Linked DNA regions of Tribolium castaneum. The protein of the gene in region 2 binds, or shares a complex with, the protein of the main gene of each other region. Links are inferred from orthologs where the notes say so. Each region holds a gene or a part of one and is shown on either strand. Other genes may lie near its edges.

The links. The genes of interacting proteins can lie anywhere in the genome.
Region 1: l(2)37Cb (region 2) and RNA-binding motif protein, X-linked 2 share a complex: the UniProt entries of both Homo sapiens proteins name them as parts of the minor spliceosome. The link is inferred for Tribolium castaneum from reciprocal best matches to the Homo sapiens genes DHX16 and RBMX2.
Region 3: l(2)37Cb (region 2) and cysteine-rich PDZ-binding protein share a complex: the UniProt entries of both Homo sapiens proteins name them as parts of the minor spliceosome. The link is inferred for Tribolium castaneum from reciprocal best matches to the Homo sapiens genes DHX16 and CRIPT.
Region 4: l(2)37Cb (region 2) and SmE share a complex: the UniProt entries of both Homo sapiens proteins name them as parts of the minor spliceosome. The link is inferred for Tribolium castaneum from reciprocal best matches to the Homo sapiens genes DHX16 and SNRPE.

Annotation. Positions count from the first base shown.
Region 1 is NC_087396.1:22,563,590-22,569,980, forward strand, and holds RNA-binding motif protein, X-linked 2, read right to left. Parts: upstream 3,096-6,391; 5' UTR 2,957-3,095; coding exon 2,943-2,956; intron 2,894-2,942; coding exon 2,107-2,893; 3' UTR 2,103-2,106; downstream 1-2,102. Other genes in the region: mitochondrial tRNA-specific 2-thiouridylase 1, read left to right, coding at 507-588, 635-800, 848-1,032, 1,082-1,308, 1,509-2,102; TBC1 domain family member 31, read right to left, coding at 3,221-3,843, 3,891-4,520, 4,708-5,062, 5,109-5,544, 5,591-5,739, 5,787-6,219, 6,266-6,339. UniProt on the Homo sapiens protein: Involved in pre-mRNA splicing as component of the activated spliceosome. As a component of the minor spliceosome, involved in the splicing of U12-type introns in pre-mRNAs.
Region 2 is NC_087398.1:7,192,927-7,199,690, reverse strand, and holds the end of l(2)37Cb (pre-mRNA-splicing factor ATP-dependent RNA helicase DHX16), read right to left. Parts: intron 4,728-6,764; coding exon 3,347-4,727; intron 3,300-3,346; coding exon 3,081-3,299; intron 2,887-3,080; coding exon 2,703-2,886; intron 2,649-2,702; coding exon 2,424-2,648; 3' UTR 2,405-2,423; downstream 1-2,404. Other genes in the region: zinc finger protein OZF, read left to right, coding at 529-663, 714-1,991. UniProt on the Homo sapiens protein: Required for pre-mRNA splicing as a component of the spliceosome. Contributes to pre-mRNA splicing after spliceosome formation and prior to the first transesterification reaction.
Region 3 is NC_087394.1:8,403,620-8,409,505, reverse strand, and holds cysteine-rich PDZ-binding protein, read right to left. Parts: upstream 2,611-5,886; 5' UTR 2,494-2,610; coding exon 2,321-2,493; intron 2,263-2,320; coding exon 2,133-2,262; 3' UTR 1,957-2,132; downstream 1-1,956. Other genes in the region: ras-related protein Rac1, read right to left, coding at 1,312-1,355; Noc1 (CCAAT/enhancer-binding protein zeta), read right to left, coding at 2,716-3,083, 3,131-3,259, 4,933-5,144, 5,204-5,444, 5,501-5,738, 5,805-5,886. UniProt on the Homo sapiens protein: As a component of the minor spliceosome, involved in the splicing of U12-type introns in pre-mRNAs. Involved in the cytoskeletal anchoring of DLG4 in excitatory synapses.
Region 4 is NC_087394.1:32,139,492-32,145,423, reverse strand, and holds SmE (probable small nuclear ribonucleoprotein E), read right to left. Parts: upstream 2,608-5,932; 5' UTR 2,391-2,607; coding exon 2,106-2,390; 3' UTR 1,957-2,105; downstream 1-1,956. Other genes in the region: kelch-like protein 21, read right to left, coding at 1-17, 70-248, 1,121-1,449, 1,495-1,654, 1,704-1,837, 4,123-4,288, 4,348-4,504, 5,059-5,243. UniProt on the Homo sapiens protein: Plays a role in pre-mRNA splicing as a core component of the spliceosomal U1, U2, U4 and U5 small nuclear ribonucleoproteins (snRNPs), the building blocks of the spliceosome.

The sequences.
Region 1 (6,391 bases), on a different chromosome or scaffold from region 2:
CCTAAAAGGCCATGGGGGTGAACACAGGGGTGGATTTGCGTTTTTTTACCAAATCTAAAGCTTCAAACTCTGACACCATGCGCAAATTCGTGGCAATTTAAATTGGCAGTTCTGGATTTTTTTGGGAAACATTTATTAAATCGTCAACAAGGCTTTGCCATCAACCTGACAGTTTATCACCTGTTTCTTTTCTAATATCTATCAAGTGCAACGACAAGTCTACAGTGCGGTTTTTCTAATATTGTAATTTAAAAAATAATGTTATGCAACCAACATTACACCCGCGCCCATTAGGTTTTTTTTGCACTTTACGTACAAGATTACAAAAATGAATATCGTTTCCCTGTTATTGGACACTCTAAACAAATCATAATTTAAATAATTATTAAAACGTGATCTCCGTTTTGGCGCATTTTTTCGCTTGTTACCGCTGATCAACCCAGTTGTGCTACCGCTGACTTTTGTCGAATTTTGTTGGTTATGTTCCTTTAAACGGCGAAAAAAGCATGTTAAACATCCGAAAGGTGGTCGTGGGCATATCTGGGGGCGTCGATAGCGCCGTTGCGGCACTTTTATTGAAAAAACGCGGTAAATCACGTCAAAAAATTCGAATAAATTCGAGTCAAAGTTCTAGGTTATGATATACAGGGTGTTTTCATGCAAAACTGGGACATTGCGGACGAAAAGGGCTACTGTTCGGCTGACGCTGACTACAAAGACGCTGCTCTAGTGTGTGACAAACTGGACATTAAACTAACTCACGTCAATTTTGTCAAACATTACTGGAACGAAGTGTTTAGGTATATAATTAAATTCCCCGCCAAAAAAGACATTATTCGAATTTCAGCAATTTAATCAAAGAATATGAGACCGGCAACACGCCAAACCCTGACGTTCTATGCAATCGTAACATTAAATTTAATTATTTTTACAAATACGCGAGAAATGAGCTAGGGGCTGACGCTATCGCGACCGGACATTACGCAAGGACTAGTTTCGGGTCTTATCTTGAACATTATAACCCGGAAAAGGGTCTGTATCCAGTCAAAAAAAAAAACAATTTATTACAACAAAAAAACAGGGGTAAGACTACTAAACGCAGTTGATTGGTTCAAAGACCAAACGTTCTTCTTGTGCCAAGTCAATCAAGAAGCTTTGCAACGTACAATGTTCCCATTGGGCGATTTAATGAAGCCGGAAGTGAAAAAAATTGCAAGGGAAAACGGACTTGAAAAAATCGCAAGGAAGAAGGAGAGTATGGGGATCTGTTTTATCGGCAATCGCAAATTTCAAGACTTTATTAGAGAAGTAAGTGATTAGTTCACAGCTTCCGTGATTGGCCAATTATTTCTTACTTTAATTTTTGTTGTTTTCGAAGTTTTATAAATTTTTTTTAATTAAAAAAAATATTGTAGTCAAGCACTAACGTGGCTCCCTCTAGGTGAAGGGAGGCCTGTCATTGGTCAAAGAAGCTTTGCACTGGTCACTTGACTAAACATTTTTTTCAGTATATTGATGATAAACCGGGCGATTTCGTGGACGTTGACACTGCGAAAGTCGTGGGTCAACACAATGGGGTGCACCAGTGGACTTTGGGGCAAAGGGCGCGCCTCCACAGCTACGAAAGCCCTTATTTCGTGGCCCGGAAAGACGTAGACAAGAACATAATTTACGTAGTCAAAGGGACAAAACACCCGTTACTTTACACGAACATAATTTTGACCAGTGAGCCCCACTGGATCCACTCACAGCCCCCTGATTTACAAAACGGGGTTTTGGAGTGCGATTTCAAGTTCCAACACACCAAATATTGGGTCAAATGCCAGGTGTGCCAAACAAGTAAAGGACTGATTATTAAAGTGAATAGGTACAAGAGGGCCATCACTCCGGGACAGTTCGCTGTCTTGTCGAAAGATGGCGAGTGTCTCGGAGGGGCTCGAATAATTAACACGGGAGTTTCACACTTCTCGCTATATTATTTGGAGAATAATGGTCTAGGGAGTGTCTCCCACATTTTGAAAAAATATGTCAATGTGACGCAAGGTGAAGACGAGCTTACTGATAATGAAGATATGAAGCACAGAGCTGTAAATAGATGTTAGTAAATCAGCGCTTTTTCTTATTCGGACTCCGCGACCGCTTCCTCCTATCCTCGTCCTCTGACACGCTGTCTTCAGCGGAGTAATCCGACCCTGACTCGCCCTTCTTCTTCTTTTTCTTCTTCCTATCTGAATCGGATTCGCTGCTGTTTTCGTCCGACTTCTTTTTCTTCTTCTTCTTTTTCTCCTTCTTGTGTTTCTTTTCCTTCTTCTCTTTCGTGACAACAGGCTCCGGCGGCGCCTCCTCGTCCACTTTCTCCTTTTTTATCGTGTAAATGGGCAAGCGCTCAGGCAACTTGATCTCAGAATTAATCTGGTCGGCCAGTGTTTCGCGAAAATCGTCAGGGTCTGTTTTAATCTTCACTGGCGCTTTGACAGGAACTTGCACAGGGACGGCCTTGGGGGCACAGCCCTCATCGTACAGTTTCTTCGTCTCAGCGTCCGTTTTCTTGCCCTGTTTGGGCACCTTGTAGTTACTGACGTGGTCGACTCGTATCGTCCTGTTCAAGATTTTGATTCCGTTGAAATTATCAACGGCCAAGTCGGTCGATCTTTGGTCCTCGTAGCACAGGAAACAGAAGCCCTTTGACTTGCCCGAGTCCTTATCCCTGATCAGGTTTATGTTCACCACTTCGCCATACTGCGAGAAAATGCAAATTATGTCGCCCTCGGTCAGGTCGAAGGGCAAACCGCCGATGAAAACCCACGCACTGTCCCTGTATTGGTCATGCCAGGAGGTTTTATTACCGGTGTAGAGCTCCTGTTCGCTCAGTTTCTTCACATTTTTCATGTTCCTGGAAAGACAACTTCGCAAAATTGGGGCAAAAAATCGACAATACTTACGTTAACGGATTCATGGTGCGTGATTGTGGGGCCTCTGACCCCGAAAAACATGAACAAATACAAATAAAACAAATGTTCAAAAAATAGGTTAGGTATTTGACGTACGTTTGACGTTTGTGTTAATTGCGTTAAGGTGCATTCACACCGCGGCTGGAACTATTAAGGCGACTTCACATCGGTTTGTAAATTTATTGCCGTTTAAAAACATATCACAGGTGCATATGAGATCATAAAACGTATAAATAGAAACGATACAACTTATAATAAAATTGATTGTGCTATCCGCCCACTTCCTCACTCCTTAAATTGGCAAGTAGCTCGATTAAATTGGCAATTTTCAACGCCAACTCTTTGCTTTCCGCTTGCAGGGCGACAACGCGTCGATCGGCATCACTGTCACTCCCGCTCTTTTGTTTTTCCAGCTCACTTTCGACTTTTTCGATTAGAGCATCCATGGCTTCAAGCCCCGTTGTCAGATTTAACATCTTCAAATGTTTGCGGGGCTCTTCACTACTCCGCACAAAATTGATTTCGTTCGATAATTGTTCCTGTTGTTGATCAACTGATAGTTTTGTACTTGTGACAACTTCATCAGTGTTTAGTAACTTTTCGATTTTGTACTTGTTTTTCAAAAGTTCGGCATAGTGGAAGAGGAGTTCGTCCTCGGTCTTGGTCAAGGCGTAACCTTTCTCGCCTTTTCGGAACCTGACATCGTCCATAATCGACGATAGGTATTTTCGGCGGCTTTTCAATTGCTGTTCCTTCGCTATTTGGTGTCTTAAGGAGGCCAAAATTTTGTCTTCTTGGTGGAATTTTTCGCGCAGGTTGGCCACCCTTTCGTAGTACTCCTGGACACGGGTTTGCTCCTCCAACAATTGATTACGAATCGCGCGTTCCATTTCTGACAATTTATTTAATTAAAACCCCAAAAAATGTACAAAAACTTACCCAAAATTCGCTTATTCTCTTCTTCCTCCACTTCGAAATTTTGCAACCGCTCCAAACTAATCAATCGGCGTCTGAACAAATCAACCTCGTCTGTTTTCAACCCCGCCATCTCTCTCTTCATCTCGGCCTCTTTATCCGACATCTCGATCATGGTTTTGGGGTAATCACAAAAATTGGGGTATTCCCCCAAATTAATTTTCTTGAACATGTTCAAATATTGCCGTGGGTGCACGGCCTCGCCCGTCTTGGCCAAAATGTGGTAACTTTTCGTTAGCAATTTTTTAACATCTATGGGATGATGCGTTTTGTAAAAACACCGAAATTGTTTATCGTCTTTAAGACTCAAAATGGAGGTTCGTTGTAAAATATTGTAAGCCACGACTCCACACAGTAGAAACGAAGGTTCGTTTGTTAAAACATGGTCCCAGAAAATTTTCCAGGATGGCGCTGTCAAAACCTCGGAAAATGCAGTTCGCAAAATCGGCCATGCGTACAATTCGGAAGAGACTTTTTTTCTGGTTAGGAAGTCCAAAAGTTCGGGGTCGTGTACCATTAGGACGTTTTCAATCATCGCAAGTATGTTGATTGGAGGGAGAGGGAAGTACTCGAACCAGAATTGACACCAGTTCACTGCGATTATTCACTCAGTACCCATAGTGTGGTCCTTCGAGCCGGATCAACAAAAATATGGAAAAATCTTAATTAGAAATATTTTGTTGTAGCAAAAACAGTTTGAAAACAATGAGATTTTAAATATTTTCAGTTTTAATAAGACTATTCCATAATTTTGCCGCTCATTGAATAAAAAAACACTTACAAATTATCGTGCAAACGGCCTCAAAACACGTCAACGGCTTGTTAATAAAAACCTTGACAAAGGGGAACACAAAAAGTGGCAAATAATCCACGTTGAGGAAGAAGGGACACCACGTGACCAAATTATCCAACAGTTGTTTGAGGTTTTTGAGGTTTCGCTTGTTTTCAAGCGGGTATTTGCGGCACAAATCCTCAAATGAGACTATCATTCGGTGGTTGATAATCCCATTGTAGAGCTCCCTATTATTGGGAAGTGCCAACAAGTGTTCCCAAATTTTGGTCCGGTATGAATCGGGAAACTCGCCACACTCTTTCAATATCATTCTCAATTTTTCAATCTCGAGAATCTCCCTAATCTGACAATTTGACAAGTTGTTTAGTCTGCGGTCCGCCTCAACTCACCTGCTCCTTGACTATGCCCATTTTCTCCAAACATCGCTTCAATTTGACTTTTTTTCGCGCACTTTCTGCCCGAACGGCCTTCAGTTTGAGTGGCACAACCACGTATTGGGTCACATCGTAGATATTGACGTCACCGGACGATAAAACACAGGCCATATAACTCGCCGAAAAATCGTATTTTGAAATTTCGTAATTTGCAACTAATTCGCTCATTAGAACATTTTGGTGGCTGTCGTAGAAATAAACAGTGCCACGGCCTGATAAAATGGCTAAAATTTTATTCGAGCCGGCGTCGTTTGGCTGGGGGATGAAATCAATGTGTTTCAGTGACTGGATGTGTTCTGGCAATGTTATAAATTTAAATAGTTTGAAGTTCGAGAGTAGGAAGAGGGCGAGGTGTGGTGAGCGGCAACCAATCACCATCACTTTGCCGTCCCTTGAAAAAAACATAAAAAAACAATTGACAAAAACCATCGTCATACTGTGTGAACGTGATGTTTTTCACTTCGTGGTTGAACCACACCAGAGGTGGTATTTCAGTCTTCATCTCAAACGTGCCAAACTGCCAGATCTGGATCACGTCGTCGTTGAAACATGTCAAAATATAGGAGGAAACGGGAATGAAGCACACCTGGAATTTTCGAAATCAAATTAATTCTAACGATCGCAAAGACGTACATATTTCAGGGCGCAACTGTGCTGCAAACTGAGCACCTGCAGCTTGCTGTTGGTGTTCAAGTCCCACAAAATCGCCTCACTTGTGGACCCCGTGAGGCACAAAAAGTTACTACCAAACGTCATGCAATTAACAGGGCTCTGGTGGCCCCTCAACTGGCCGCAGACGAAGCCAGTTTGGGCCTCAACCACGTACACAGCGCCACAATGTGCCCCCACTAAAATTTCGCCCTCTTTGAAGTGCGAAAACTTGACCATAACGCAAGTGTTTGTGAATTTTGGGATGTTCCAGAATTTGGTGCTCGTGAAGTCGATCACAAAGATGTTGCCCTCGTAGTCGGCCAAGGCCAGTGTTTGACCATTTTTGCTGAAACAGCAACTGAGAAAGCGGATCTTCTGCGCGTTTCTGTCGGTGTGGTGGATGTTTAGCACTAAGCTGAAAACAGGGCAATTAATTGGTCCAAGGGGCAAGGGCCCAATACCCGTCTCTTTGGGAGGGTTTCAAAGTGAAAAGTTTCTTGTAAATGCGGTTTTCCTTGGTTAGGTTTAGAGTCATGGTGGTTGTGGTTGTTTCAAGGGTTGGTTTGTCTTTATCGATGGTCACAGAT
Region 2 (6,764 bases):
AAATTTGACCGGTTAAACAACTTATTATTTATTTACCATTTGTTTACACTTTTTGACATGTGTCACTCCTAATCGTAACCTAAAATTGATGATTTTACAGTTATCTGTAAAGAATGTACTGTCCCTGATTCATAGAATAAGAGAGTCGAAGGCCCTATCGAAGGGCTTAATCTCCTGCAAAAATTAAAGAAAATTGCAAGATATAAAGGGGGTGAAAAAAATCAGTTTGAGAATAAAAAATGCAGAAATTAAATACAGTTACGTTTTAATTCGTAATAAAAACACATTAGAATGGTCAGGAGATGTTCTACAAATGTGATATGCAAGTCAGCGTAACAGCTTATTGGTGTTTTTATAATGATTTACGATTATTTCGATAATTTTCCTGGTGTTAACTTGGCTGTAGAATAGGAGATTGTCTGGTCGACTGTAATGTTCGTGGTGCCAGCACAGATACTGCTTATGTCTTTCTGCGTCGTTGTTTGCGATCAATTTTTGAACACAACAAAAATGTTAATTCTTTAAAAAATGAACCCGTTTTCGGAATTTGAACACGTACAAATCGAAGAAGTATGCCGCATTTGCCTTACAAAGAAAGAACAGATGAGTTTAATTTATGAAACTGGTTTAGCAGACATGCTTTTGGAATGTGCTTCGCTCCAGGTAAGTAAACAATTAAAATAAAAAATAATAACGCATTTAAATTTCTTAAGGTAACACCTGACAATGGACTTTTTAATTTTGTGTGTCAGCAATGCCAAAACGAAGTCAGCCGTTGGTACCTCTTTAAACAGCAAGTAGTTCGGTCTTTTGAAGTCGGTAAATGGATATTGGAGAGAAGAAACAAAAAACTCGAAAATGATGAATTAACAAACACAATAAAAGACGAAGTGGACATTCCCCCAAGTGTGTTTGATGTAAATATCGCTTTCAATACTTTAGCCAACAATAGTAAAGATGTGCAAAGCACTTTCTTGGTCAATGAGTCTAGTAATCAAATAGTGAACACCCCAACTGACTCTCAGTCAAAAAAGAAACGAACACGCGAAGATTTAGTTTGCAAAATTTGCCACAAACAATGTCTCACCACCAATTCGTACAATCGCCACATCAGAACGCATGATAATTCCCGACCGTTCGTTTGCAGCAAGTGTGATAAGGCCTTCAAGACAACCCAAGTGCTGTCAGAACACATGAAACGGCATTACGACGACAGGCGCCACCAGTGTGCTCTTTGCAGCAAAAAGTTTTACTCAAAAGCGAGTCTAAACGACCACTTACGGAGCCACACAGGGGAGAAACCTTTCGGATGCGAAGTCTGCGGACGGGCTTTCGGGACCAAGGCCATCCTCAGACAACACCTGGGAATTCACACAGTGCGTGAAAAGAAACACCAGTGTAACATTTGCGGCAAATTCCTGCTCTCAGCCGGCAGTCTAGACACCCACGTGAGGAAACACTCCGGCATAAAACCGTTCTGTTGCCCCGGTTGTGACAAAAGCTTCTTCACTAAAGAAGCAATGCAAAGACATTTCGACGCAATCCACGACACTGACAACAACTTCCTGTGCAACTTCTGCTCAAAAGTGTGTTCAACGAAAGTACATCTCAACAACCACTTGAAGAAGAAGCATCTAGGGCTGGGGAAGCCCCCGAATGCTGTGTGCACCGAGTGTGGCAAGCAGTGTGGTTCAGCCGCCGAACTGAAGGTCCATGTTAGGGTACACACGGGAGAGAGGCCGTACAAGTGCGATATTTGCAATAAGAGGTTTATTGCAAAAGGCAATTTGAATTCGCACAAGTGGAGACACACGGGAAGAAAGCCGTTTTTGTGTAACCACTGTGGGAAAGCGTTTGGGGAAAAGTCCACGCTCAAAGTGCACGAGAGGATACACACGGGGGAGCAGCCGTACAAGTGCGAGCTCTGCGAAAAGGCCTATGTGCAGAGCAGCGCCCTGAGGACGCACATGAAAGGCCATGAAAAACAGTGAAGGTTTGGAGATTTTATAAATTTATTTATGAATAAATACTAGTCACAAGGGCTATATATTTTTATGCCCTTTTTTAATTGGTAAAACCAAAAAATAATTAGACGAGAAAAGCTATTTTATTATCGCCTTTCAGTATTTTCATCTCATTATGATTAGTTTATTATTTTCATTGTCTTTTTTTATAAAAACAAATTATTTCGATTTCGTAATTTTATTTACAAAAGTAAAGTATTTACACTTATATTTGTATATTGTATTATCACTAATACATTTTTATTTTTCTATAGTGTCTTTTGCATTTACAAGCAATTTATTTACTGTTCTATTGTTTGCATGAGAAGAAATAAGAATTTTTTCCAACAATACCAAACTGCTTTACTTCTTCAATTTTTTACATTATTATAATAAAAAGCTTTCGGTTCTAAAAAATCTTTATTCAGTTCTGGTGCTACGCCCGACAGTCTTTGGCATTTTTTTGTTGGTAGAATCCTCCAGTTCCTTCTGCTTGTAATAATGAGGTGCAACCTCCAAAAGCCACTTACTCTCGATTTCTATAACTTGTCTCATAAACTCTTTGGTGGTAAAAACCAGCTCGTGATAAAGAACCCATCTTGGCAAGTCCTCAAAAAGGGCACTATTGGGATGTATTGTGACACTCTGAAACAATTTCTCTCAGTACAAAGAAAACTATAATTTTTTTGGTGTTAAAACCTGATTATGTTTAACGGTTTTGTAAGTCCCTCCTTTGGATAACCGAGCAATGTGGTAGAAATAACCGGCGGTTATAGCCTTTTTAATGTCTGCAGCCTCGGTTATATTTGACACCATGTCGATTTCAACCCTTTGCATTAAACCGACCAACTGTTCCCTCACATCGCGAGCCCTTTTCATAGATCTACAACAAAATAAAGCACAATTATTTACGTATCTTCAACAACTAGATAACTTGAAATTTATATTTTTCTAATTTATATTTCTAATTTTTTTAAAGTACTGAAGATGAACCGGTTAGTTTGAAACATTTTCATTCTTTTTTCTTTATTTTATTTTTCTTTTATGGCAGATTTCAGAAAAAATAAGAGAAATCACCTGTATTGTATAAAATTCTCGTAGCACCATTGGGTGGAATAATCGGAATCCCTCCACTGGTTGTACACATTTAACAAGCTCAGATGGTCACCCCCTATGTGATTAAAATTTTTGCGTGCCGTGTCAGCATGAATAATTTTATCCTTGGGCCTGTAAAAAATCGCCCCATTGACCGAAAGCATGGCCGCAATAGTCACAATCTCCTCTGAACATTTGTATCTGCAAAAAGCAAACAGTAACAAACCCACACAAAAAGCCAAACTTACTTTTCCGAAGCTAACAACATTTTGGCCATCATCGGATCAACCGGAAACTCCGCCATCCTGCGCCCCAACTTCGTCAACTCCCCGTGATGGTTCAACGCCCCTAAAGCATACAACTGTTCCAGTGCCAGAACAAGTGTCTCATGTGGTGGCGGATCAAGAAAATCGAAATGCACCAAATCGTTAATCCCCAACGCTTTCAGCATCAGTACAGCGTTGCCTAAATTAATCCTTTGTATTTCCGGCACGGTATTGTCCTCCAGTTCATGCTTGTAGGACCAGGCGGTGTACAAACGAAAACACTTCCCGGCCGCCACTCTGCCAGCCCTCCCAGCCCTCTGATTAGCCGAGGCTTTCGAAATTGGCACCACAATCAGGCTCTCCATCCCAGTCCGCGAATTGAAGTGGTTTTGTTTGGCAAAACCGGGATCAATAACATAGATTATATTGTCTATCGTTAAAGAAGTCTCCGCTATATTTGTCGCAAGCACAACTTTCCGGGCCCCTGGAGGCGTCGGTTCAAAAATTTTCGCTTGCATGTCGCTTGGCAGGTTCGCATAAACGGGCAGAATAATCAGTTCCTTGACTTTGGAGCCCAACCGGCGAACCCGATCCTGCAACAACTCCTGACACGTCTCAATCTCATCCTGACCGGTCAAAAAAACAAGAATATCCCCTAACGGTTGAGTCGCGTGAATTTGTAGAACGGAAACAACGCACGCGTCCACATAATCGGCCTCTGGCGCCTTAGTGTAGTAAATATCCACCGGAAACCTCCGGCCTGGAATGCGGAAAATGGGCGCATCGTCGAAAAACTCGGAGAATTTTTGCGCGTCGAGCGTTGCGCTCGAAATCAGCAGTTTCAAGTCGGGGCGAAACCGGGCGATGTCTTTGACCAGACCGAACAAAATGTCCGTGTGTAGCGTCCGCTCGTGGGCCTCGTCGATGATCATGACGCTGTAGGACTGCAGGTCGGGCTCGGATAAAAATTCGCGGTGGAGCGTGCCGTCGGTCATGTATTTGATGATTGTACGTTCGGATGTGCAATCTTCGAATCTGATCGCATAACCGACTTCGTTGCCGAGTTTGACTTCCATTTCTTGGGCTACGCGGGCCGCTACCGACATGGCGGCGACACGGCGTGGCTGCGTACAGCCGATTTTTTTATTGTCGTTGGTGAAGCCGGCTTCGTGCAAGTACTGCGGGATTTGGGTTGTTTTTCCAGAGCCGGTTTCACCCTCGATTATTAGGACCTGGTGCTCGCGGACGGCCTGGATCAAGTCGTCGCGAAACGGGTAGACTGGGAGGTTTTTCTTCGTTTCTTGGATGTCGAGCTTCTTTTTTTCCTTTTCGGTTAGTTCGGGCTCTTTCTTCTCTCGTGTGCCTGTTTATTGATTATTTTGGTACAATTTTGCCAATTTAATACCTCACAGACTAGTTCTTATCTCATCGTTTTAAAATCCTAATACCCCTAAAAAATGTACCGGGTGCTCAAAAACCGGCGCACCAATTCAATGATGTGCGGTAGAGAAATGCTTAAATATAAAGGTAAAAATAGTAAAAAATTCTTTGTATTACAGTTATTGATAAATACCGAATTTTAAATAAATGATATGTGGCAACGTTGTCTAATAGTCGTGATCGCAATAGAATTTGTTCAACAATAAAAATTAATTATTTTTGAAACGGTTTCCTAGGAAATAATGCCCAATGTTGACACATCTACAAATTGTGATTTTTTGATTTATTTAATTTTTTTTAAATTCAGAAAACTGCTAAAGTCTGATAGTAAATTTAAAAATAATTAATCATTATTTTATTAAGAAACGATTACTTAGTGAGAAACATAAAAACATTAAAAAATAATGAAAACTGAAGACATTAACAAAATACGTTTGTAGTTCTAGACTTTCTAAAATATGAGATTAGGAATTTTTTAACGAATTTTGCTCAACAACGTACCATTAAATTGGTGCGCCAGTTTTTGAGCATCCTGTATAAAAAAATTATGCATCTACCATTTTTTAGTAAATAAAATTCTCATTGCGATATTTTTTTCATGCGGTTTGAAGGTAACTTTTTTTATAGAAAAATAAATCGACTTTAACTTATTTAATCTCGGGTACAAATATTTAAAATAAGATAAAAACTGATCTGTGACGTAAAGACCATTTTTAAATTACTGTTCTTAAACATTTTATTTCAAATTTTGCGTTCATGTGTTTATTTGAACAGCTCCTCCACAGACGTTCTCAGTATAGTTCAACATTAACTATTTGTCATGGAACTATTAAGCTAATATTTTCAATTGAGAGCATTCAAACAGCAATACAATTTACCTATAAATTACTTATTTAATGAAAAAGTATCCAAATGATTCTTAAACAGGTGCTAAATCGGTTCTTGTAAGAAGATTACAGAGAAATAAAAAAATAAATGCCTACTTTTTAGAAATACAGAGCAATTATTTTAATTAAATCTACCTACTATGAACTGAAAAGGTCAAATGCAAGTCAATACTTTGTCTTTTCTCTATTTTTAGTTTGAATAAAAACGGCTTATTTCTGACGATTCTTTGGTTAAAAACGAAAGATTGAAAAAACTCTAGATAAAAAGAACGTTTTTTTTGCACTAATTTGGACGAAAACGATTTATTTTATACAATTTCTTGCTTAGAAACGAGAAAACTCTTTGAGAAGTGGCTGAAAACCGCCTTATTTTAGCCGAAAACAACGATTTATGTTATAGTTTGGATGAAAACGGCTTATTTCTGGCTATTCTTTGCTTAAAAACGAGAAAACTCTCATAAAAGAAGATTGAAAACGCCTTATTCTAGCTCAAAAGAACGGTTTATGCACTAGTTAGAACGAAAAAAAAAATCATTTTGTATAATTTCTTATTTAGACACGAGAAAATTCTTGTATAAGTGGCTGAAAACGCCTTATTTTAGCCGAAAACAACGATTTATGTTATAGTTTGGATAAAAACGGCTTATTTCTGGCGATTCTTTGCTTAAAAACAAAAAACTCGCATAAAAAAAGATTGAAAACGACTTATTCTAGCTCAAAAGAACGGTTTATGCACTAGTTAGAACGAAAACGATTCATTTTGTACAATTTTTTGCTTACAAACGAGAAAACTTTTTGAGAAGTGGTTGAAAACGGCTTATTTTAGCCGGAAACAAACAACTATTTATGTTATAATTTGGATGAAAACGGTTTATTTCTGGCGATTCTTTGCTTAAAAACAAAAAAACAACGCATAAAAGAAGATTGAAAACGCCTTATTCTAGCTCAAAAGAACGGTGTATGCACTAGTTCGGACGAAAACCATTCATTTTGTACAATTTCTTGCTTAGAAACGAGAAAACTCTTTGAGAAGTGGCTGAAAAGCCGTATTCTAGCCGAAATTGACTTATTTT
Region 3 (5,886 bases), on a different chromosome or scaffold from region 2:
ATTAATATGTGACAGTATGCATTATTCTAAAGAGTTTTAGGTTAAATCGTCTCTTAGTAAAATTCACGAATTTCTAAAAGGACAAATAAAGGCATTTCAATATTAATACAAAATTAAAGATTTGCTAATGCAATTTTTTTTCTGTTCAGTAAAACCATAATAATATAATTTTTTTTGAAAGTTCATATTTACAGAAAAGTTTGCGACCTCGATGTTGGATTAAAATTAATTTTAATAAGTAAATTGCTTAATGCTTATTTTTATTAATACCATTTTACTTTTAGTTTTACTTAGTGTATTTTTTTATATGTTGTACTCAAACTTTTTTCAACACCTCACTTATTGGCAATAAATAGAAAAAAATTAAAGTGAACTGGCCTTTATGGCGTTTTTTGTTCTGTTATAATTTATTGTTTAAACATACTGAACAGCCATTCCAGGAAAAATGTAACTTAACACCGAAATTTTAAAATGATTTTGGTACCTACAGTAAAACCTCTCAACAACGGACACCGATGAGGGACTGTCCGTTGTGGAGAGATGTCCACTTATGGGAAGTGGAGAATTTTAATATAGGTATTATGCTCCTACAAAATTGTCCGTTGTGAAGAGGTTTCACTGTACACGATGCAGTTTATATTTAATGTATTTTGCGACAAAAACATTTTTGGGAGAGGATAAACATTTAAATTGAAGTATTGGATTTTAAAATTTACATACCTAGATACTATGCCTTTTAGGCTATAACATAAAATACTGATATAATGCAACTGTTGAATAATTTTTGAAGAGTATTTTTCTAGTTTCTAGTCATTTAAAAAATGAAAATCAGTGAAAAAATTGCTTTTTATATAATTTTTTGGTGTCCCGTCCGTTATCGCAAACATTACATGTTATTCTTATTTCTTACGATGTTAAACAAAACCAAAAATTTTTAATTTACATTGTCTAATTTTAATATTGCTAAAGTCTTTAATAATTAAAACTTGTATGAATACAATTTTTAGAGATGTTTTCACACACAAGATTTTTTGTCCCGTCCGTCATCAATTTGTATTTCAAACTTTAAAAAATGTGGTTCTAATTGTAAGTTGCAAAAATTTGACTGGTACTAAGTTCCTGTCAAGAAAAATTCACTTCTGGTAATACTGTTTGTAAAAACTGAAAATGAAATCTAAAAAAGTGTGCAGTGCCCTATCTGTTAAAATGGTTGTGAAATAAAAAACAATAAAATAAGAACAATGTGGTTCAATTAAATGTTACAGAGTTAATGTAATTTTTCTAAAAAGAATGTAGGTACTGCAGACTAACCCTTTAATCCGGGTAGTTTCCTCCCTTTCTTCTTGGAAATCCATTACAATACCACACACTAACCGCGATCACTACCCACAACAAATTTGAAATTTTGAACTGGAAAATTTTAATTTTACGTCCGTTTGCGTCAAAAGCAAGAACCAAACTGAATAAAATTAAACGGCAGTATTGTGTAAGTGTATGGATAAAACGTCACCAACAAAAAATATAATCACTGAGATAAGTAATTACTGCAAGGTGGAAAACAAAGAGGTTTGTCTGATTCATTGAATTTTGTTACGACTTCGTCACGTTTTTTTTATATACAGGGAAGTGAATTTTTAAAATCCAATCGCTGAAATTCATTTCTAAAAGGTTATATACAGTGTAGCCACTTTTAGAAGTATTTAATAATACGACAGACATCAATTTTTTCAATTATTTTTTTAGTGCAATAAGACAAAATCGTATTTTAACTTTGTGGAAATAATATTACAGGTACAGTTTTTTAGTTTATAAAAAAGTCCAAATAATAATTCTAGAATATTTGATAGTTGCGTTTTAATAATGTATAGTCAACCTTAATAACAAAAAAGAAATAGGGATAGAATAGGTAGAAATGAATTAATAAGTTAAAAATGTTATCATAAAAATGAAATAAAAAACTTTTGTCATAAGTTATTAAATATAATTACACACCTTATCATTCAAGATAATTAAATTGTCGTACACTCACTGTATACAGACAGAAAACCTAACAGTACCTACAAAACAATGCAAATTGCTCTAAAACTTAGAATAGGCTTAATTTTGTTTAAAAGTAACACACAAAATGTAGTTCAAGTTGACGATTGTTTGTAATTCTTCGTACTCAACAATTTCTTACCACACATCGCACAAATTCCTTTTTTATAAGCACAGGACTGGCAATAATGTGACCCAACCTGGTGCACCTTTTGCCTACATATTCTACAATAAAAACATGAGAAGAGTAAATCAATTTTAAGGATTACTTGCATTAACAAACCTGCAAGTCTCAAAACTGGACGTGTATGGATTAAATCTGTTTTTGCTAGCTGTTAAAGCCTTGTTTTCGTTAACTTTCCTACCCCCTGACTCAGTTGTATTTCTAGCCCCACTTTTCCAAGGATCTGGTGTTATCACTTTGCCCAACTTCTTTTGGCATTTTTCGCACACCATTTTCACAAAACACGATAATTATTGTGAATTTGGTACGAAATTGTAAACACGAAGATAATAAACAGAACGTACTGTTAAACGTCACGAAAAGTTAGGTTATGGGTTATGTGTAGTTGTATATTCGCGAAATACAACCAACACGAATTAAATAAAACACAAAACTGGTGGATTCGTAAAGAATTATATTAATTAAAATGCAATCGACTGCTTCCTTGTCGATTATTAATTCTTCCTCTTCTTTGCCTTATTATTAAATTTATTTGGACCTTTCCTTTTCTTGCCAAAATTGCTACCTTTACTATTTTTCTTTTTGCCAACTACTTCATCAAATCCCTTCAACCACCTATTTCTACTCTGTTCCCAGGCAAGTTGTTTAGTGCTCGCATTATCCTTATTTGATAACGCATTTGAACTTCCTGGGGCTATTTTCGAACTACCTTCATCGTCAAGCAATGAGGCAAATTCTTCAGCTGATGCAAATATTGAGTTTGTGTCTTTGGATTTTTTCTTCTTTGATTTTGCTGACTTCGGTTCTTCATCGTCAAAAACAACTTCCTCGTCTTCATCGTCGTCTAAGTCACCCAGAAGCACTGCAAGCAAAGGATAATTTTGTGTTTTATTATTACAAAAAATATACTTTTGTCATCATCGTTCATTTCAAGGTCATCTTCATCGAAATCTTCATCTTCGTCCATTGACAATTCTTCGTCAGAAGCATCCTCCATCTCGCTATCATCGTCATCACTATCATCATCATCTGTCCGTTCTGGAAAACAGAGCAAAATACATTTTGAAATTAAGTTGGCAACACTTATTTTTATTATTGGTACTATAAATTGTAGGTGAAATTTAAAAATCGAGTACAAAAATTAACGTTTAGATTTGATAGTTATTGTGGCCAACTTAGATTTAAAATCATTGATCACTCAGATTATTATTATTTTTGTAAACTTAATCTACAACAAACTTAGGCATTTCTGTCTGGTTTCCAGCGTTTGCTAATAAATATTTAATTTTTTTTATCTATGTAATTCTTTTCAAAATTTTTCTACAATTCTTTTCTACAAATTAGCAGTTGTCAGCAAAATATACTTTTTTATATTAATTATGAATCTTAATCTGTTCTATAATTATTCTTTCCAATAAATACGTGTACTCAAGCTTCTGAGGTAGAAAAAGAATTCATTAAAATTAACAAAGTAATTAATATAGAAAAAAAGATTTTTGTTATTAATAATGTTGTTCCGGTCATTAAATTAAATTAAATATTTAGACTTCCTCAACCTACTTGATATAACATACACAATAATTTGAAAAAGTATATTTTGAGTTACCGAACATTCGTGTTTTCAAAAAAAAAAACTAAAAAAAAATTTAAAATTAAAATTTAAAGGTAAGTTCAGAAAATATGTTTTAATATATTTTGTGCGGTGCAAACATTTTTTTTTATTACTTCTTATAACATTCTAAGACAACAAATGCTTAAAAGTTGATTTGTGCAAAAGATACATAAAAAATTGTTGCTAACTCAAAGTGTGAATGGTGTGGAAAAAAATTCAACGTAAAAAAGCTAATTTCGGTCCAATTTGTTACCAATTATTCGAGTTATCGAAGTTCGACTGTAATTATTTTTTTTGAAACATTTTCCATAATGTGGTAAAAGTACACAAGTACACAACATAAAAGGTCGAAATTTTCAATCGACTAACTGTTTTCAGATAAAATATAAATAATGAAGCACTTATAAAACTGCGCCGCAAAAAAAGTTTTAATGAAAAATATTTATACAATTTTAACAAAAAAATACACAAAACTTTAACACAAAGTATAGCAGCTCAATAAAATATGCACCATATAAAATTTACGATTCTAAGTAGAAAAATATCAAAAAAATGTGTTTTTCAAATCAACATGGTTCCTTTTCCATGACATTTTTTTACATTTTAGAGACATTTTTTTATTAATGGTTCAAGTCTTGAAGTCAAATATAATGATTTTTTTACCGTCGCATTACTATTAAATATTTCACTGAAGTTTACATAACTTTAAAGTTGTAACAATTGGAATAAAGTCGAAACAAAGAATAAAATCTTTGCAACTTTAGAACTTAAAAAATTTAATTGGCATTTACTTTACAAATGCAAATGTGAGCTAAACGTAATTTTTAATGTTTTTTTTTAAAGACTAGAGACAATTTTTAATGTAGTTTTTGTTTCAAAATGTCATTAGAAATAAAAAATAATAAATATATTTTCAGTTAATATTATTATTACTAATTAATTAATTTAACTTAGACGGAATTGTAGAAAAGTTGTAAAAATATTTGCATGCATAGAGAAAAAATAAAGTATTCAATACCAGTCTCTAATTTCTGCATGATTATAAATTTTTGATAAAAATCATAAAAAGTATATAATGAAGCGCAAATAAAAAACATACTTTTATCCTTTTGGCTTTTCCCGTTAGTCTTAAGATTATCTCCAACATCATTCAAAAAGTCCAAATCTTCCTCATCATCCTTAGGAAGACCAGCCATTTTCTCCAACATTTCTTCAAATTCCTCACTTTGAACCGACTCCAAATCACTATCATCCTCATCGCTTTTATCACCAAAATCTTGCTCTCTGTCGTGGTACTTCTTCCGTAAATAACTAAACAAAACACAAAATTTGACATGTTTCCTTAAAACAACCCCACACAAAAACATTACCTATACATAAACATCTCATCTACAGGAATATTTTTCGAATCTTCATTCAAATAATTTGCTGAATTTACACGCAATGACCTTAAACCTTTAGGAAGATACAATTTTCTTTTACCAAACGTTGGATGCGCTCCTTGAACTGTACCCTCTTCGTATTTTTTCGGATTTTTGAAAACAAACCTATCCAAAAATCTGATCAGTGTAAAATCTTTTAAGGGATCCCCTGAATATTTAATTATATTTCCTAGAAAAATTAACACAATGCAAAATTTCAAATATTTTTTTTTTTGGATACTATACCATCCAATATGTTTGTGGCGTATAGTGCAACAGTTGGATGAAAATGATTTTTTAGGTCAAATAATTCAGTGTAGGCGCAAAAATCGCCACCTGCATAAAGCGGGTTACGACTTAAAGCATTGTAAGTCGGTGATTTTTCCTTCTTGGATGAGTTAGCACAATGATCCCAACTTGGTTTAATCGCATGATTTAAAACAGAAACGTCGGGTTTTATGTCGTCACCACTTCCCTCTTCATCCTACATAAAATAATTAATTTAGATTTGTTCTTTGTTAAAATTATTATTATTGTTTATTTTACTAACTTCTTGTTTAATTTCAATTTCATCGTCCTTGACATCGTGATATCTTTCCTCGTCCTCGTCGTCAGACCCGTCATTTTTCAAC
Region 4 (5,932 bases), on a different chromosome or scaffold from region 2:
CAAAAATCGGCCCTGAACTAATTTTAACACTGTAAAATCCCTCTTTTTTGTCAGATGAAATATACATACTCTGGGTGGTAACAAATGGCAAATGGTTTCTTCACTAGATGAAACTGTGTAGGTGGCAAGTCTTGGTGGTTGTAAAGCGTGAAGAGAAAAGCCCGCTCTGAGGCCACGTAGTGGCTTTTGCCTGGTGGGCGCCCCCAAGCTGCGTCGCTGAACCCGCCACAGATTTCCCCCCTTGGACCCTATTCATAAGCAATGAACACAAACTCGTACAATCGAAACAACAATACATTCTTATAAAATGGTAAACAAAACAATTCATTAATTTTAAAAGAATGTAATATTTGTCCCTGCGCATCCACCATTTTTGAAAATAATTTTAATTAAAAATAAAATGTTTTAAAAGCCCTTACCACAGTGCCATTGTTTTATTTATTATTTATACATATGAATAAAATAGAATTCTACCAAGCTTTAACCCCAGGTTAAATATAATCTGTCCCAGCGCATCCACCATTTTTACTAATAATTTTTATTACAAAACAAATTGTTTTAAAAGTCATTACCACCAAATTTTGTACAAATACTGTACTATTTTATTCACAATCACATACTTTTTGTTGAAAACATTTAAAATAAATTAAACTTTAACAAAGTTTTTAACCCCTGGTCTAATTATCAACGTCGTTAACGTTAAGAATACATGAATTACTAAATTAATAATTTGAAGAAAAAAAATCCCAATACTTTTGCTTTTACTTTTATTACTGACCAAGAGATAAAATCGTGGATGCTAAACAATTTTTAAATAAAAATAGAGCAGTTATTTTTTATATTTTCTCATTCACATATCTGTAGATCTTGATCTGCCCATGGTTTATTTATTCTCTCTTATTTATAACCATTAATTCAGTGAATCATCTTTCTACCAGTGATATAATACATTTTTTTTACAAAAACAAATATTGTATTTTATGATTGAGATTAATACATGATTATTTTTTGAGGACAAACTATGGAGGCTTTTTCAACAAAGCGCTAAGCAAATATGTATGTATGCGTACGTGTTTTTTTTTATTCACGGCTCAGCTAAAATAAATCGCAAAATTCTTACCAAAACTATGACAAAAGTGGGCGAAATCCCATCACAGTGTCTGTGAAAAGCCGATGCAGAGTACCCATGACTGCTAGCCCTGTAAATAAGTCTCCAACTCTGCTTGGGATTACCGAACCAGGCATTGAGCACCCTTTGGTAGTGACTCTTATCCTGACCCAGAATTAGCGAACCCGGGAATAAGTGAGGTGATACCCTTGGACGCAGTCTCTGGTCCTCTGCTCCTTCAGGATATTTACTAGGAAGCGCAGCATGTCTGTACCTTTCCAAACTGAGCTCCATTGGAACGGCTCCAGTTGGTTCAACTTCTTCGGCAAAAACTTGGCTGTCTATAATATTACAAATAAATAAGAGAAAAAAAAAATTTAATTTACCAATCAGAAGTAAGCGGACGTGAGAAATGACATGTGAGAGGTGCTGGCACACTCTGGCCCTCTCTTCTTCAGTCCAATGGGCTGTGGGTTGGGTGACACCAGCTTGGTACTTTGCCCAGTTTAAAATTGCTCTCCAGACATCCTCTTCCTCCAAACAGAGCTAAATTGAAACAGTAATAAATGATTTTAAGTAAAATTTTAAAACTTACATAATCTGAGGAGATTAATTTTAAGACTGCTTCTTTGGGAAGAGAAAGAAATGAGTTTGTTTTTACACATTCTACAGCATTTTCGCCAATGTAGCTGACGCAACGTTCGACAAAACCTGTCGCAGCTTTACCCCCTACAAAAAAAATATATTGGAACACCTACAAGCTTCACAATTCTAAAAAAGCGATAATTACCTGTATTGTCCATCACATTTTAATTTTAAGGACTTTGAAGTTATAAAAATAGACATAATTACTAAAATAATTTTAATGTCCGCATTTCTTTTACAGAAAGTTGATGAATCACTTAATACTAAGACCAATTGCGGTTTTCATACAAACACATTACTCCAACGAATGAAAAAATTGTTATGAAACTTAGAATTACGCTACAATTTACAACTAATTGCCTGATTGAGGATTCACGTTCTGTATCAGCGTTATGTTATCTCCTTTAAGCATGATTCTTCCCAGCTGCCTCCTGTTCTTCGTTTTAACGTAATATTCCTCAGCATCATCCAGCACAAGATTCATGTATTCATCAAAACCCACAATGTGCCCCTCGATTCTCAGATTAATGTTCTCGTATAACCACACTTGTACACGTGAACGGTTTTGTAAGTAACGAAAAATTAAGTTGATGGGTTGTACCATCACTTTTTGAACTTTTTGTGGTTTGTACGCCATGGTTAGAGGAGTCTTGGGTTACCGGCAAAAAAAGTTCTTTAAGGAAGCTAAGTGCAAACACACTTTCACACAGCACGAATTATTCGTATTAAGAGAAAAAAACTTGTTCAAAGTTTGCAATAGTATTTATAAAACTTAAAAAATGAGGCGACGCTTACAATACGACCAAAGTAAGGTTATCTGTGTGAGTTCTGTATTCTGTTGGCAATCGTGGAACGCGGGAAGCTTGACGAGCTGAAATACACCAGAAAAAGGTCTGGTGGTTTGGTCGTTTTTAGGCTGTTTCGAAACTATAAAAACACCAACGTCCCATTTTTTTTCCAAAATTATTCACGCAGAATTATAGTCGCACAATTTATATTTTGGGTTTTCCTTAACTAATCAAGCTGAGTTATTCCATAATTATCATCAGATGGGCGTAAATGTCTCGAAAAAAATTTTTTTTATTCTCATTTAGCTTTCTTTGACGTGATAGTTTTTTATATATTTTTTTTGAACTTGGTGTCTCATAAACTCAATTTTTTTTTAATAAGGTTGATAAAAATGTAAAATAGTTATTAATAAATAAATCATTGAGACTATAAATAACATTACCTATTAGTTTTTTGAAGTGCATAAATAATTTATAACAACTAATTTTGAGAGAAAATACGAGGTTGGCGTTTTTATAGTTTTGAAATAGCTAATATGAGGAGTTGCGCCGTGTCTTACACACACACAATCGTCAATAGGTCTTTCTTTGTCATTGTTACCCTTAATGACACAATTTTGGTTTTGGCGGGATAATTTTACGTGACTTTAAAGAAAAAAACGACAAGCTATAAACTCGATATAAAGATGTGAAACGACATTTAAATCAACTCTTTACTGAATAGGAAGGGTTATTTTGCTCAAAAAGTTAGATAAATGCCTGAAATCACACTTAAGAAAAAATTGCCAAGAGTGCTTTGACTTTGCACCAAATGGATGCTGCTTTTAACAGTTGTCATCGCGTGATTGTCAGTCAGTGTTGTTATCTCTCAGAAAATCGAACGAAACTAGTGATTATTTGGACTGGGTGGTTCAAAAATGCAAAGTGGGGCACCTGTTTTTGTGGAATATTTGTGAATTTGAAAGTGCGGGCGCGCAGACTGTGACCTGGCGCGATGCGCACAACGACCTGCCCCTTGACTGTGTTTATGGAGAATACTCGGGGAAAAACCGGCTCAAAAGACACATTTTTCAATTTGGGTAAGGTAAGTGCTACACCTTTGCGGCCCAAAACCTCTTTGAACCTTAATTTTTTTATTTGCACCGGAGATTATTTTTATTTATATTATTTATATTTTCCAAACTGTGATGAAGTGTAAAGTGTTGTTTGAGTCTTAATAGCCCCAAAAACTAGAATTAGGCGAGAAAAATCTCAAAATTAATGCCAAAACGATACAAAATTGATGTTAATGAGCCCTAGCCGATCCCAAAGGACCAAAGGATCATTTATATGAAATCTGTGCATAGGGGTTGAGTGTTTTTTCCCAATTTTCAAATGCTCAAATGGCATAGAGATACAGCGTCTCTATAGGCAGTCAGGGCGACTCTAAGTGCACTATTAGGTCACTATTTCTTTTTTAGTTATTTCTTCATTAGCTTTATACCTCTATACTTACCCATTCTTTAGTAAGTTTTTAATCTCAAATTTATTTAGAATTACAGTTTTTGATGTTGAGCAATTTTGAATTAATTTTTCACTTACCTGGGGACCGATTTTGTATGTCCATCGCAGCTGCCAGAAAAGTGCAGGCTGAAGCAACAGACAAGGTTGAAGTGACATGATCTTCGCAAGCATTTCTCAATTCATCAACCCCCAGTTCTTGAGCAAGCGCCAACATTTCGAAAACTCCACTGTCTTGCAGCAGTATCTGGCAAACGTCTTTATTGTCAGTATAAAATAAACAAATAATCGGTAATTTATACCAACCTTTCCTGTGTACACATAAAGGAGGAACTGCTTGAAAGTGTCAGGAGGCGCCTGCGGTAGACGCACAGGTGTGGGTGTTCCTGGGGCTGCTGGAGAAACAGAACATCCCGGAATACGACACACTTCACCGCGTTTGGCCGTTTGAAAACTCTTGCATCTGAGCGGAATATTGAAGAATGAAATAATTAGCTTCAAGATACAAAGACGTTTCCATTAGCTACATTTTAGTTGTTTCTTTGAGCCGCCGTCAGCCACTCAGGCATATGAGTTTATGCATCTATGCGTTTGGAGAAAAATGCATAATAATGTACAGCGCGTGTAGGTGCTCTCTCACAATAGTGGACTCACAGGATCAAAGCAATTTTCGAAAGATATCCAATTAGACATCAGAAACAAGAGTCGTTGAGATAGAGAAAGAGACTTATTATTAGCGTCATTATATGAGTGGAGCAATAAAGTTACGAGTAGATAAGAACAAAGGTGCAAACAACTTTGATGTTTTAATGAGAGGTGCGCGAAACCATAGTTCCTTGTCTCTGCAACTTTGTAAAAGTTCAGACTTTTATAAAGTCCAACAATTTGTTCTTGCTTGATCATCTTCTCATTATATAAGCCTTAATTACGACAAAATAAGACCAACAGCTTTGAAAAACTTGAAAAATAACAAGCACAAGGGATTTATTAAGGACGTAATTAGAAAAATTCTTTCACCTGGCCATAAGAATTACTCGATGTGCGTACACACGTTCTTCGTCTCTCCCAAGAATAAAAACAATGTCTGCTGAATCCGTGTCTTCAGAAAGGCGCTGCAAATCATCCAACAATCGGGGAACCCCCGCTAAAGCTTTATCAGCTGGCAAACCAGCTGAATTAAATCCTCCAACTCGAGATCCCATCCTAAGCTAAAAACATTTCGAACACTGTAAATATTTCGACCAAATATCTTGATTATTTGAAAATCGTACCATTAAGCCGGCTTATGTTTAAGTCGCTGCTGCGCAAATACACGGCGCACCATTGACAAAAACCCCACTCTAATAAAACAAAATATAAACTTACCGAACACAAAATTCGATGGTAATTTCGATGCAAGATCACAACACCTCTAACAATAATTTTATTCTAAATATGCAAGCATTTAAAGCACGAATAATGCCCTAATTTCAATTAAATTTTCGATATTTCTTTGCCATACAACTTTAATAGAGTTATAATGGAACTGGTCTCAAACATATCCTGCTCTGACCAGGTAAACGAAGGTAGGCTTTAATCTCTTGCACAGGTTCTTGAGTACACTGCCCTCGACTCTCCGGTGTTGCCAAATCAGAAAGATTTAAATACAAATCAGATTAAATCTGCTCTGATATGTTTGAGTTTTTTTGCCGCACTCCATAATTACTGCCATTATTTATCGTAAACAACAATAATATTATCATAAGTCCATTTTTTATTGCAAAAAAGTAAGCACTAAAATTTAAATATTGAAAAAACAACACGTAAATCAAAGAAGTTGTAATATTTGTGGGATTAACTTTTATTATTATGGGAAGGTGTGATAGAAAAACTAAATCTAAATGGGCATAGT